3 linked regions of the Nothobranchius furzeri genome follow. The main gene of each other region encodes a partner of the protein of the gene in region 3 in a complex. Links are inferred from orthologs where the notes say so. Each region holds a gene or a part of one and is shown on either strand. Other genes may lie near its edges.

Region 1 (3,754 bases), on a different chromosome or scaffold from region 3:
TTACAAAAAAGGGTCAGAAAAGCACTTTTTTAATTAATTTTCCAATACAAATGACTTTCATGGCCTAAATAATATAATGTGATGTAGATATCCACGGTAGTAACGGGTGATGACTCCTTTAAGGGTCATTCTAGCACATACTTACTCAAGAAAATGATTAAAAATATGAAAACTTTACATCGTATCCCTTTAAGGTACGTTTCAACATAAATGATTGTGTGTCCGAAACAGAATGCCTTGTAGGAAAATTATTTTTGTTGTTGATTCGATCCAGCCGTCACATTTTTCTGATTTTTCAAGCTCCACTCTCAAAGATGGAGGTTGAGGATTAGGAGGAGAGGAGGAATAACCAGGATAACTGAACCTGAACGGGAGGTGTTCCTGCTCCTGCTGAGCCAGTGTGAAGGCGGTGTGAGCGCCATGGCTTCTCCAAAGTTTAGCAGGTTTTTCATTTGTCTCATTGCTTTTGTATTTTTCAAATTTTTTTGTTTGTTTGTTTCCAGGTTTAAATATGCGATTGTCTCTGTGTCCAATACAATTAATCCTTCGTTCGGCTGACAGCTGGGATTAGTCAGCATATTTTAATATGTGACACATTGGGTGTCGAGTATCAAAATACATAATCCTCACAGTCAGAAATATGGAATTTGTGTTTTTTAATTTTAATTAACTCACAATCTCTGGAAATATGTAATGATGAGAATAACAAGCAAAATTAGTAAAACTATTATAATTCTGGATTCGATTGTTTTTTTTTGTATTTTCTGATTTTGTATTTGATTCATTTAATTCCAGCAGCAGGTATTTACTCAGATTTACTGAAACATTCCTCTCTGGTTCTAACTGGGAATGCCGGTTTTCCAGTCTAATTCTCCAGTAAAACAAACTGCTGGTCTTTGTGGATGAAGTTTTCCGTTCCTCTCCAACTTCATCTCTTCAGTGCTGCGTTTTGAGTGGAAAAGTGACACGCAAAAAATATGCTTCCGTCAGTGCACACTCAAGAGGTGAAACGTATCATCCTAACCACCGCCATGCTAGAACCCGGAATCGCTTAGTGAAGGATTCGGTTATGTCAAACACGCTAATTTAAGAAAGTCCCTTCATGTTCAACTAAAAATGAGACTTCCTGGTTAAATAAATGGTTTTAAAAGCGACTGTCAGCAGCTTCAACCCACAAGAAAATAAGGAACTATGGTGGATCCTGTTTAACTCACTCACTGCGCTGTTTTCTGATCAGAAATCCCCTGGCTGCCAGCGTTTTTGAGCGTTTTTACTGATTTTGAAGAGTCAGAACGTTGTGCTCTATGATCATGCAAACGCCAAAACTATCGAAAGAAAGAGTAGACTCACTTTTTACATCAGGAAGAATCACCGTGTTTCTAGCGTTAACCATTCTTTCACAATCTGTTGTCCAAGTGTGAGCTGCAGACGCTTTTCTGGTTAGCGCCTCGCTTTTTTCACAGCAGCGTCCCAAAACAATATCCCAATTCATGGATTTTCTCCTTCCTGATCAGGTGACGTGTGACACACGGACTAAGATCAGCTTTAGAGACGTCATGTTTACTCTCATGGTGCGGGGGCTCGATCCCACGCCCACCCCGTTAAAACAATGCAACTGACAGCTTTAGTTGTCAATTGCAGCGAGCCACTGGATTTAAAATGACGTCTTTAGCTGTCAATGGCAATAAATGATAAGGGCCAACTGTTTTTTTAATATTCGCATTAATTTGATGATCTCATCTCTGCGTCTGGCATTGCTCAGAATTACATTTTATGTTTGTTTCCATTAAGATTCCTGCCTGAGTCTGAGTAAAATCAGGGTTTAACCGGCTTCGTCCACCTGAAATTGTAAAAACAAGATCAAATCTAACCATCTTTCACCACTGTGACACAGACATTGGTGTGCAGGTGAGCTGTAGAACAGTAAAGCAGCAGCTTGACTTACACTTCCCCGTTGATGTACTCCAGTCTTTTAGCCACGGTGGCTTTGGCCTCATCCAGATCTTGTTTCACTAAAACAGGACCGATAAGTTTATAGATGGTGTTTGAGCTGTCGAGCAGATCCAGCTCCTGGAAACACAGGCGAGTCATGTCTGGATTATTACACACAAACCGTTGTGATATACAGCCATACAGGACTGAAGTTACCTCTTTAACAATGTTGTTCTCTGTCAGCTGCGTCTCCAGTTTCTGTCTGGCTGACATGTTCTTGCTAACATCTGAAAAAACACGCAGGTGGGTTAAAAAACTATTCTTATGGCCAAAAAGCTAACGTTACTTCATGCACACATAGCGGCTACATGCCCTCTAAAACTTGTGATAGCACATAAAGAAAACCCACCTTTCTGCATTTGTGCATACTTTTCTACTTCCGCTTTTAATTTCTTCTGAATGGCGTCTGCCATGTTTGCTTATTTTATCTTACACAACTGTAAAAGTTTAATTATTGTAACAGAGCGCTTAGCAAGGCAACATGAGAGAACAGCGCTAGCTAACAGGAAGAAGCTACGCAGAGACCGGATGTAGTGGAAGATTCAGGGCACACTCGGATATTCTGGTTTTAAATCGAGGTCAGAATAAAATTATGTGTATCTGGACTTATTTTGACGCAAACGCTCACTAAACCATGAAAAGCTCTTTCTAGTTATACATCTAATCTTCAATTTTCGATCAAATATATTGGTTGGAGATCAATGAGTTTGGTTAGAAACATGTAATTTAGGATGTGATTCGAATGCACCATTTGACGTCTGACAGCTTTCTTTGGGTATTTTCAGCTCACAAAAATCTAAATAGAGGGCAAAAACACATAAATAAAATGATTTTACAGATATCAGGCTGCGAATAATAATATTTAACGAACATAAATAATCATTTGGCAGGTAGGTTTTGGTTTTGACGCAGTGACAGTTGCGTCAGTTTACGACTGTTTTACGACGGTGCCCACAGTCCCTCTGAGCCCTGCTTCGAGATGGCTTCTTCGTTTTGGAAAGGTGTTGTCGGCATCGGACTCTTTGCCTTGGCCCACGCAGCGTTCTCGGCAGCACAGCGTGAGTTTCAGCGCCAAGATGTTAGACCGATGTTTTCCTGTGTTGGTTAGTTCTGGTTGGACTGAGTCTCCACCGAGTGAAGGACCGCGGGGCCTGTGGCCACAGCAGCTTAGCTAGCTCCGCTAGAGCCTCCAACGGAGGAAGACTTTAATCTGTACCTGCTCGCTTCTGTGTGACTGCCGTCGTTTAATGTTTGGATTAAGAGTATTCTGTGAGTTATTGTCGATATTACTCTGATTAAATCCCAACTCTCCCATCAGATCGGTCATACATGCGGCTCACAGAGAAGGAGCACGAAACGCTGCCTATCGACGTGAGTAACCCATCTCTGGTCTTCAGAGAGAGCCCTGCTTTTTATTTGTCTTCACCGTCGTCTTGCTCCCACCACAGATCGTTCTGCAGACATTATTATCGTTTGTGATGACCTGCTACGGGATCGTTCACATCGCTGGAGAGTTCAAGGACATGGACGCGTCCTCGGAGCTGAAAAACAAGTGAGTAGATTCCCTTTACAGCCTCCGGTACCGGATCTGTTTGTGACCCGGTTCGATTTCAGCTCTGTGGAACATCCCTCCACAGGGACACTCTCAACTCCCATAAGGCAGTTCGGCAGATACACTAGTTAGGGATGGACAACCACCAGAGCTCTGTTCGACGAGACTAACATCTCTCGGTTCTTTGTCTTATTTAGGTTGAAAAACACT
Region 2 (3,754 bases), on a different chromosome or scaffold from region 3:
TCCTCAATCTGAATACAGTGGCATCACACCTGAGCGCCCATGGCGTCGTAGTCTCGGGCTCTGGTGAAGGAGCGACCCAACTTGCTGATTTTCCCAGTGGCTTTATCAATTGTAATAACATCTCTGTAAAAACAGAGTAAATAGATTTGTTCTAACGTCGCTCCAGCAGAGAAAAACGAGACTAGAGAGTCTTGTTGTGCGAACAGAACCTACCCAGCTTGAACCTTCTCCTTACTGAGACTGTCAATCATCTTGTTGCCCAGGTCATAGATAGTCTCCATCTCTGTCGTCTTTAGAGTCAGCTTGCCTACTTTTGCACCCTGACGGAAAGAAAATATAATTTTTATTAAACAGGACTCTTCAAAGAGAATAACATCAATGTATTTAAGCTAACAGAAAGTGGGAGACAATAAATTCTGAGACTACTAGCTAACATTAGAGAAAGTATCCCACCGTTCCGGTGGCCGGTCTATCAATCTGGATTTCCACAACCTCTCCTTCAATAATCTCCGTCTCCTCTCTGTAAATACGGAAAAAACAGTCAAAGGCAAATCATTTCATACAAAAATAATTAAATAATGCTGTATCTGTGACCGCTGTCTCACTTGATCCTCACTCCAATGGCTTTTCTAAAAGCTTGGCTCAGTGCCTCGGTCTTGCTCATTTCCAGGGAGAAGATCTCGCTACCAGCCAGAGCTGTGAAGGGCGTGTCTGAGCCGAGAGACTGTGCGATGCCTATAAGACAAGCTCATCAGGAACAGGATGCAGGAACTCTTGATTCAAAACAAAATGCAACTTGAAACATTTACATCCATGGACAGCTTCCAACTCGGCTCTCACCCATTGCAATGGCAGTCTTTCCCGTGCCAGGTTGGCCAGCGATCAGGACCGCCCTGCCAGCAATGTGGCCGTCTTTGATCATCTCCAAGATGACCCCTGCTGCCCGACGGGAAGCCAGCTGTCCAACCATCCCCTGAGAAACCTGCAGGTGAAGAGGATCAAGTCTCCTTCAGACAAAACCTCACACACATTAATGCTGGAAAATTAACTAAACCTAAAAGAACAACACTGCTCAATATTCTAAAGTGTTGGTAGATAATATAAGAGAAAATGTCTGAAGTGATGTGATGTTGAGGTTACACAGGCTATCTACTGTATTTTCAGTTTAACCAGTTCTAGCAAAGTATATGCATTAGTAGTAACCAAACAACACATTTTACAAACAGCTTTTTTCTTTTAAAAGACTTAACAGAGTTTCTTTAGAGAGCATGAACAGGAAGTCCACAGCAAATGAATCAGAGACAAGAGTACCTGTCTTGGCTCCAAAGCATCATCCAGGCCAAGGCCCCGAATGTGAGAATGGGCCCCTGAACGCAAAAAGGTGGATTTGAAGGAAAAATAAAGAGCACACACAACTAGCAGCATCATACACCCTTATGATAAATTAGCTTTTTGATTAGTTAACGGTTCAAGACGTCCACACCTACCAATTCTTTCAATCCGTGTGATATCACGAACCTCTGGAACCTTTGTAGCCGCCATCTGCATCAGGTGAAACACAACAAGAAAAACTTGTAATATTAAGTAGATTGTTTTACGTTTCTGAATAATTAAGCAATGCAACTTCTACTGACCAGTTATTTGTCTGTATCTCACATTATGACTCAAAATAAGTCAAATTATTAAAAACAATAGTTAATGTGTAAACCTGATCATACTAAAACGGTAAAGATCAGATCCAAAACTTGATTTGGCAATGAGACACACCTTTTAGTAAATAATGTACCACAATAAAACGATATTTATGTTGTTTGCTAGATCAGAAAACGTCTGAGAGGTCTGTTCTGTCCAGCTGGTTGTCATAGTGACAGTTATAACCCATGCGCTACAATACATTAGCTAGCGTAATACAAAGTTTCGATCACTTTCCAAATATTAATGTCATACGTGAAAGCAAGAAAACTTTTAACTGCCACCACATTAGTTATGTAACATACCGAAACATGTGCGGCTACATTGCCAGCGTTAAAACAGGAATAGAATAGCATTCCGTGGCTAATGTTGTGTTAGCAAACAGCTAGCTTCATTCATCGCTTTATTTAAAGCTAACATTCAAAACAAGCAGAATGGGGACGTCAAACACTCCAACATCATAAGACTTTCTTCAAATTACACAGACAACAGCAATCGGGCAGCATAAACTGTAATATGTTTGAATTTTATATTATTTTATAATAAGCGTGTTCACTCACCTGCACCACTACACTCACCGAAACGTGAGAACGAGGCGCTCCTTTCTGAAAGTGCACCGAGCAAATGCGTCCGACTAGAAACAAGTAGTTTTTTTTTCACAGGGGCACATGGGGGAGCGTTGTTACCATCGGTTGTTACTGAATTGTTTTTGACCAAGAAGACAAAACTAACGAGGTAAATACGTTTCATTACACGATTCTTATAAAGGTACATAAAATGCTAATTCAAAATTTTATAAATGTTAACTCGTTCAATGAATGTTTGTAGAACTGGGTCCGTGCATTTCGTGTTTTCGTCATTTAAATGTTCTCATTGGAAACCAGTAGAAACAAAAGAATCGCTTTTTTCTTAAATTTCAAATACAAAATAATAAGCCATTGCTAAAAAAGGATGAGCACAACTATTAAAACATATTCTATTCACATTTGAAATAGCAAAAATATTTTTAGTTACAAATTTCCAAGTTGCTTTGAGTAAAAAGTCTTCTTACCAGTGAGGGGTCCTTTAAAATCTAAAACACTATAAAAAATTATAAAGAGGTAATCCAGGTAGAAGACATTTGTGTGCTGGTGCATTTAACAAGAATGAAAGCAAAAAATAAAAATAAAGGGACATTTTCTTGTGACTTTCTTTTTTATATACTTTCAAATGGAATTGTCCTGTTGTGAATTGATGACATGACAACAATTGCAATCTACTGAGCTTTCTCTTAAAATAATCTAAACAAATAAGCAATGAGAATAAGAATGCATCAAGCACAAAACACATTAAAATACTATAATTTTGAAAATAAGTCATTTTAAACCAAGGCATTTGGAACAAATACGTGAGGGACGTTATTTCTCAAATACACACGTACCATTCAAATTATCTTGTGACTATTATGTAAGTTTAAATGTAATAAGTTTTTTATTTCAAGTTTTGAAGGGTTAATCAGATATATTTTTGTTCTATATTAAAAAGAAACACATCCACATGGCATAGGAAGGCCAACATTGTCTGATGGAAAACGCCATAATAAAGCTCTAAAAGCTTTTCTCCACCAGAGGTAGCAAAGCTCATAATTTAAAGCTGTGGAATTTTTGTTCATGTGAACTTGCAGTGATCAATGCAAAGGAATATCAATCAAAATATCTGATAAGATAAGTTGGCTGGCACTCCATCCTTAAGTTTTCTTCTGACAAGTTAGATTTCGTGTTTTTATACCTTTAGAAATGCAAAAAAAAAGGGTGTAAAGCAAAGTGTGCTCAAATCTTTCTGGAGCAGGTTTTCATCTCCTTCCTGTCATTAGAATTCCCCCCTAAAAGTGCAGCTTTCGGGATTCCACACACTTTAAATTACATAACTGACATGATTGGCTAACTGGGTATATGTTTACTTGAAAGCTTGAAATCAGAAATACTTAAATGAGTCCCACCCATGTGATCACTGCAGTCTAAACAAAAAGAGTAATGTTTATTATTTGGATTTGTTTGTGCTAGGGACAGAAGAAAATATCGAT
Region 3 (3,141 bases):
GACATCCAGAATCAAACCCAGGTCTTCTGCACAAGTAATCTGATGTCTTACTAGATGAGCTAAAGTGTCAGTGACATCTTTTGTATCTGTAACATTTATATCCTTGCTAACAGCTGAAACAACGTTCAAAGAACGATTTGGAGCGAAAATGGCTATTTTGTTGCTAATTTGCAGGAAATATCTAGAAGAAAGTTCTTCAGAAATGTAGCTAGCTTTGTCACTAGGCGTTAGGAACAGCGACAAAGACTAAAGCTACTGATAGCAAATGCTACGGGCGATGCCTGAGTGCGCGTGAAGCAGCCTGCTCGACCCGAGCAGCTCTCTTTTTCTGTGATTTTACAGAAAAACAGGCAATCACAGTAAAAATGCCAGGGCTCATTCTACAGGACCAGGGCATTGCAGGAGAATGTATGAAGAAGATATTTATTATTTCTATACATGTTTTGGCTGTCAAACTTCCATAATGCCCCTTTAAATCTGAATTTGTGACTCTTACTTACATCCTCTGCTTTTCAAAATGTTTATTTTTTGCCCCAAACTTTGAGTTTTTATGGTTTTTATCCATATAATCACAAGAAACAACTGGCTCATAAAAATACTTTAGCTAGTAATCAAAAGTATTTACTGTGATCACAAGCACAGGAAAAAATGGTGGTTAAATTCATTTATTTTTAGTTTCGATTAATCATTTTTCTTTACATAAAGCTCGTCACAGAAAAATACATACATTCATTAGGAAGGTCAGAGTGTTCGAAACCACACTTCAGCAACTGGTTCTGCTTCATAAAGAAAGGGTGTCTGATGTGTACAGACTCACTTCACCCGGAAACAACAGGGATCAGCAGCAGAGCGGAAAACAGGTCAAGTTCTGACCCGGTCAAAAAAGTTCTAATTATCAACATCTACAGGTTGATAGGTAGGATGGACATGTTTCCATTTTAATGAATAATAAGGACCCTGTTCATTTAGAGGGAAAAGTGTAAAAAGTGTTTATTAGTTTATAAAGAGGGAAAAATGCTTGAATAAGAAAAATGTTCCCGCCAAAAGTCACTTTTGCTGCAGCCTGGCAGCTTTGAACTTGGACACCCTTTTAGGCGCCTGCTGAGGCGGGGCCACGTCGGGCACCACCTCCTCCTGTTTCCTCTCCAGTATGGTTGGCAGAGCCGGTGGGACGATGGTCAGGTGGGGGACAGCTAAAGGCATCGGGTCCTTTTCTATCACTGTCCCTGAAAACGCCTGGAGAAGACATAAAGAGGACACCCGGATCATTTTCCTTTGTGGGGTTGATGTTTAATGACGGACATCGGTCGCTTTTAGAGCCGAACAAATAATCTGAACACTGAATCTGTAGAAACACCACAAGTAGAAACAAACTGACTTCAAAGCGGCTGGAGGCGAGCAGCGGCACGGCTGTGGGACTGTCTTCCTCTGTGATGCCGTCGCTGGTGTCGCTGTGCGTCGTGTCATCGTGACTGAAGCTGCGCGCCACCATCCTGCGCTCTTCGAAGTCGGCGGCGCTGCTCTCGCTTGTGTCGCTGCACACGCTGTTCTCTCGACTGCGGGACTTCAAGATGGACTTTCTGGGAACGAGCTCGCCGTTCTTCACATCCACAAACAACCTGAAGGAAGAAAAAATGAAAGCAACTCTTTAATTTCACCAAAGCGACACCAGAGTTCCTCCAGGTCTTCTACCTGTAAATATCCGCCGGGGTCGTGATTTTGTGGAGTTCGTGGTGGGCGTGTCCATTACTTTGGCCATTTTTCTTCTTTCTCTTCGAATGTTCCTTCTGCTCTTTCCTCTCGCTGAACTTCAACATGGTGTTTTTGCCCGTGTTGATTCTCACCTGAGGCACCAAGCAAAGACGCTGCATGAAGAACGCGGAACATGCAATGTTTACTTTCTAATCCGAACGACTCTTTTAACACAACAACCTTTTTGGGTTCGACTGTGTGGGAGAAAAAAATCGTCGGCGAGCAGTCGCCTTCTTCCTCATCGTACTCGTCTTCTTTCCGTTGGGAGAGCGGCTGTCCGCTGGGAGGTGCGGCTCTCCAGCTCGGCTTCAAACTCGGCCCGTTTACCGGAGGAGCAACATCCGTCTCCTTCTCCTCCTCGGAGGAAGAGGAAGATGAATTCTCGCCGTTCATGTCTGCGTAATCACATAATCTGGAGACAAACGCGACACTTTAGATTCAACCAAATCTAATGAATAAATCTGATAAGACGGCGATCGCACACCTGTCCTGCTCATCCTGAAGCTCCTCGAGCTTCTCTAGTTCATCCAGTCGAGTCCACAACTCCTCCTCAGTCAAGATGCCTTTTCTGCTCCCTCCATCTTCACTCTCCTCCTCATCCTCCTCTTTCAGATCAAACACCACGTCGCTCTTGGGCTTGGAGTTTGGTTTGTGGGCTTTCCTTTGCTTTCCTGTAAAGGAAATCAGAATCAAATGAACCAAATCACCAATTACATGAAGAAAAGTCCCTCTACTGTTGTAAAGAATCCAGTAATGAGTTAAATATTTGCTTTGCCTTCTCATAAGCTGCGTTTTAGTGAAATGAGGTCAGACGAAAGACGATAATACCTTTTGTGACAGCAGACTCATTGTTTCCGACCTCCTCTCTGATGTCGACATAGGCTTCTTTACTCTAAATCAAAACAATACCAAAAACAGTCAATGCATTAAGTCACCGCCTGCATCTTGCTCAACATCTCACGTGTGACAGCGTGCACAAATGCAACGTACAGCTGATAAGGTTTCCAGGTCGCTTGCAAACCCAACTTTTGCTGCGAACATTTTCATCGTCTTGGACAGATCGTCTAATTCCTTCCTCACATCTGCAGAAAACGAGTAAATGATCATGAGAACGAGCGTTCTGCACAGGCAGTCGCAAAAACAGGCAGCGGGCTAACACGAATCTGTCAACGAAACATTCGGCGTCGAGACAGGAAGCTGCAGAAGAGTTCAAATCCTAAACATGTTGGAGAAAACGGAGGAGAGGAGAAGAAGAAAAATGATGGCACAAACAGTTCATAATATCTTCTGCCCTGAATACTACTCCGGATCATTAAATCTTCACAACAATTAAGCCCTTTCACTAATAGCAGCAGAGGGCCCTTGTTTCCATGGTGATCGGGAGCCCCT

The links.
Region 1: uri1 (region 3) and pfdn6 share a complex: the UniProt entries of both Homo sapiens proteins name them as parts of the PAQosome complex. The link is inferred for Nothobranchius furzeri from reciprocal best matches to the Homo sapiens genes URI1 and PFDN6.
Region 2: uri1 (region 3) and ruvbl2 share a complex: the UniProt entries of both Homo sapiens proteins name them as parts of the PAQosome complex. The link is inferred for Nothobranchius furzeri from reciprocal best matches to the Homo sapiens genes URI1 and RUVBL2.

The regions. Positions count from the first base shown.
Region 1 is NC_091741.1:28,885,400-28,889,153, forward strand, and holds the start of pfdn6 (prefoldin subunit 6), read right to left. Parts: upstream 2,528-3,754; 5' UTR 2,406-2,527; coding exon 2,342-2,405; intron 2,220-2,341; coding exon 2,149-2,219; intron 2,071-2,148; coding exon 1,946-2,070; intron 1-1,945. Other genes in the region: mmgt1 (ER membrane protein complex subunit 5), read left to right, coding at 2,972-3,050, 3,311-3,363, 3,441-3,544. UniProt on the Homo sapiens protein: Binds specifically to cytosolic chaperonin (c-CPN) and transfers target proteins to it. Binds to nascent polypeptide chain and promotes folding in an environment in which there are many competing pathways for nonnative proteins.
Region 2 is NC_091750.1:65,677,839-65,681,592, reverse strand, and holds the start of ruvbl2 (ruvB-like 2), read right to left. Parts: upstream 2,325-3,754; 5' UTR 2,253-2,324; intron 1,543-2,252; coding exon 1,488-1,542; intron 1,368-1,487; coding exon 1,312-1,367; intron 983-1,311; coding exon 841-982; intron 736-840; coding exon 606-735; intron 521-605; coding exon 454-520; intron 321-453; coding exon 214-320; intron 124-213; coding exon 30-123; intron 1-29. UniProt on the Homo sapiens protein: Possesses single-stranded DNA-stimulated ATPase and ATP-dependent DNA helicase (5' to 3') activity; hexamerization is thought to be critical for ATP hydrolysis and adjacent subunits in the ring-like structure contribute to the ATPase activity.
Region 3 is NC_091744.1:78,617,866-78,621,006, forward strand, and holds the end of uri1 (unconventional prefoldin RPB5 interactor 1), read right to left. Parts: intron 2,835-3,141; coding exon 2,743-2,834; intron 2,645-2,742; coding exon 2,581-2,644; intron 2,424-2,580; coding exon 2,237-2,423; intron 2,165-2,236; coding exon 1,933-2,164; intron 1,845-1,932; coding exon 1,693-1,844; intron 1,620-1,692; coding exon 1,379-1,619; intron 1,237-1,378; coding exon 1,048-1,236; 3' UTR 650-1,047; downstream 1-649. UniProt on the Homo sapiens protein: Involved in gene transcription regulation. Acts as a transcriptional repressor in concert with the corepressor UXT to regulate androgen receptor (AR) transcription.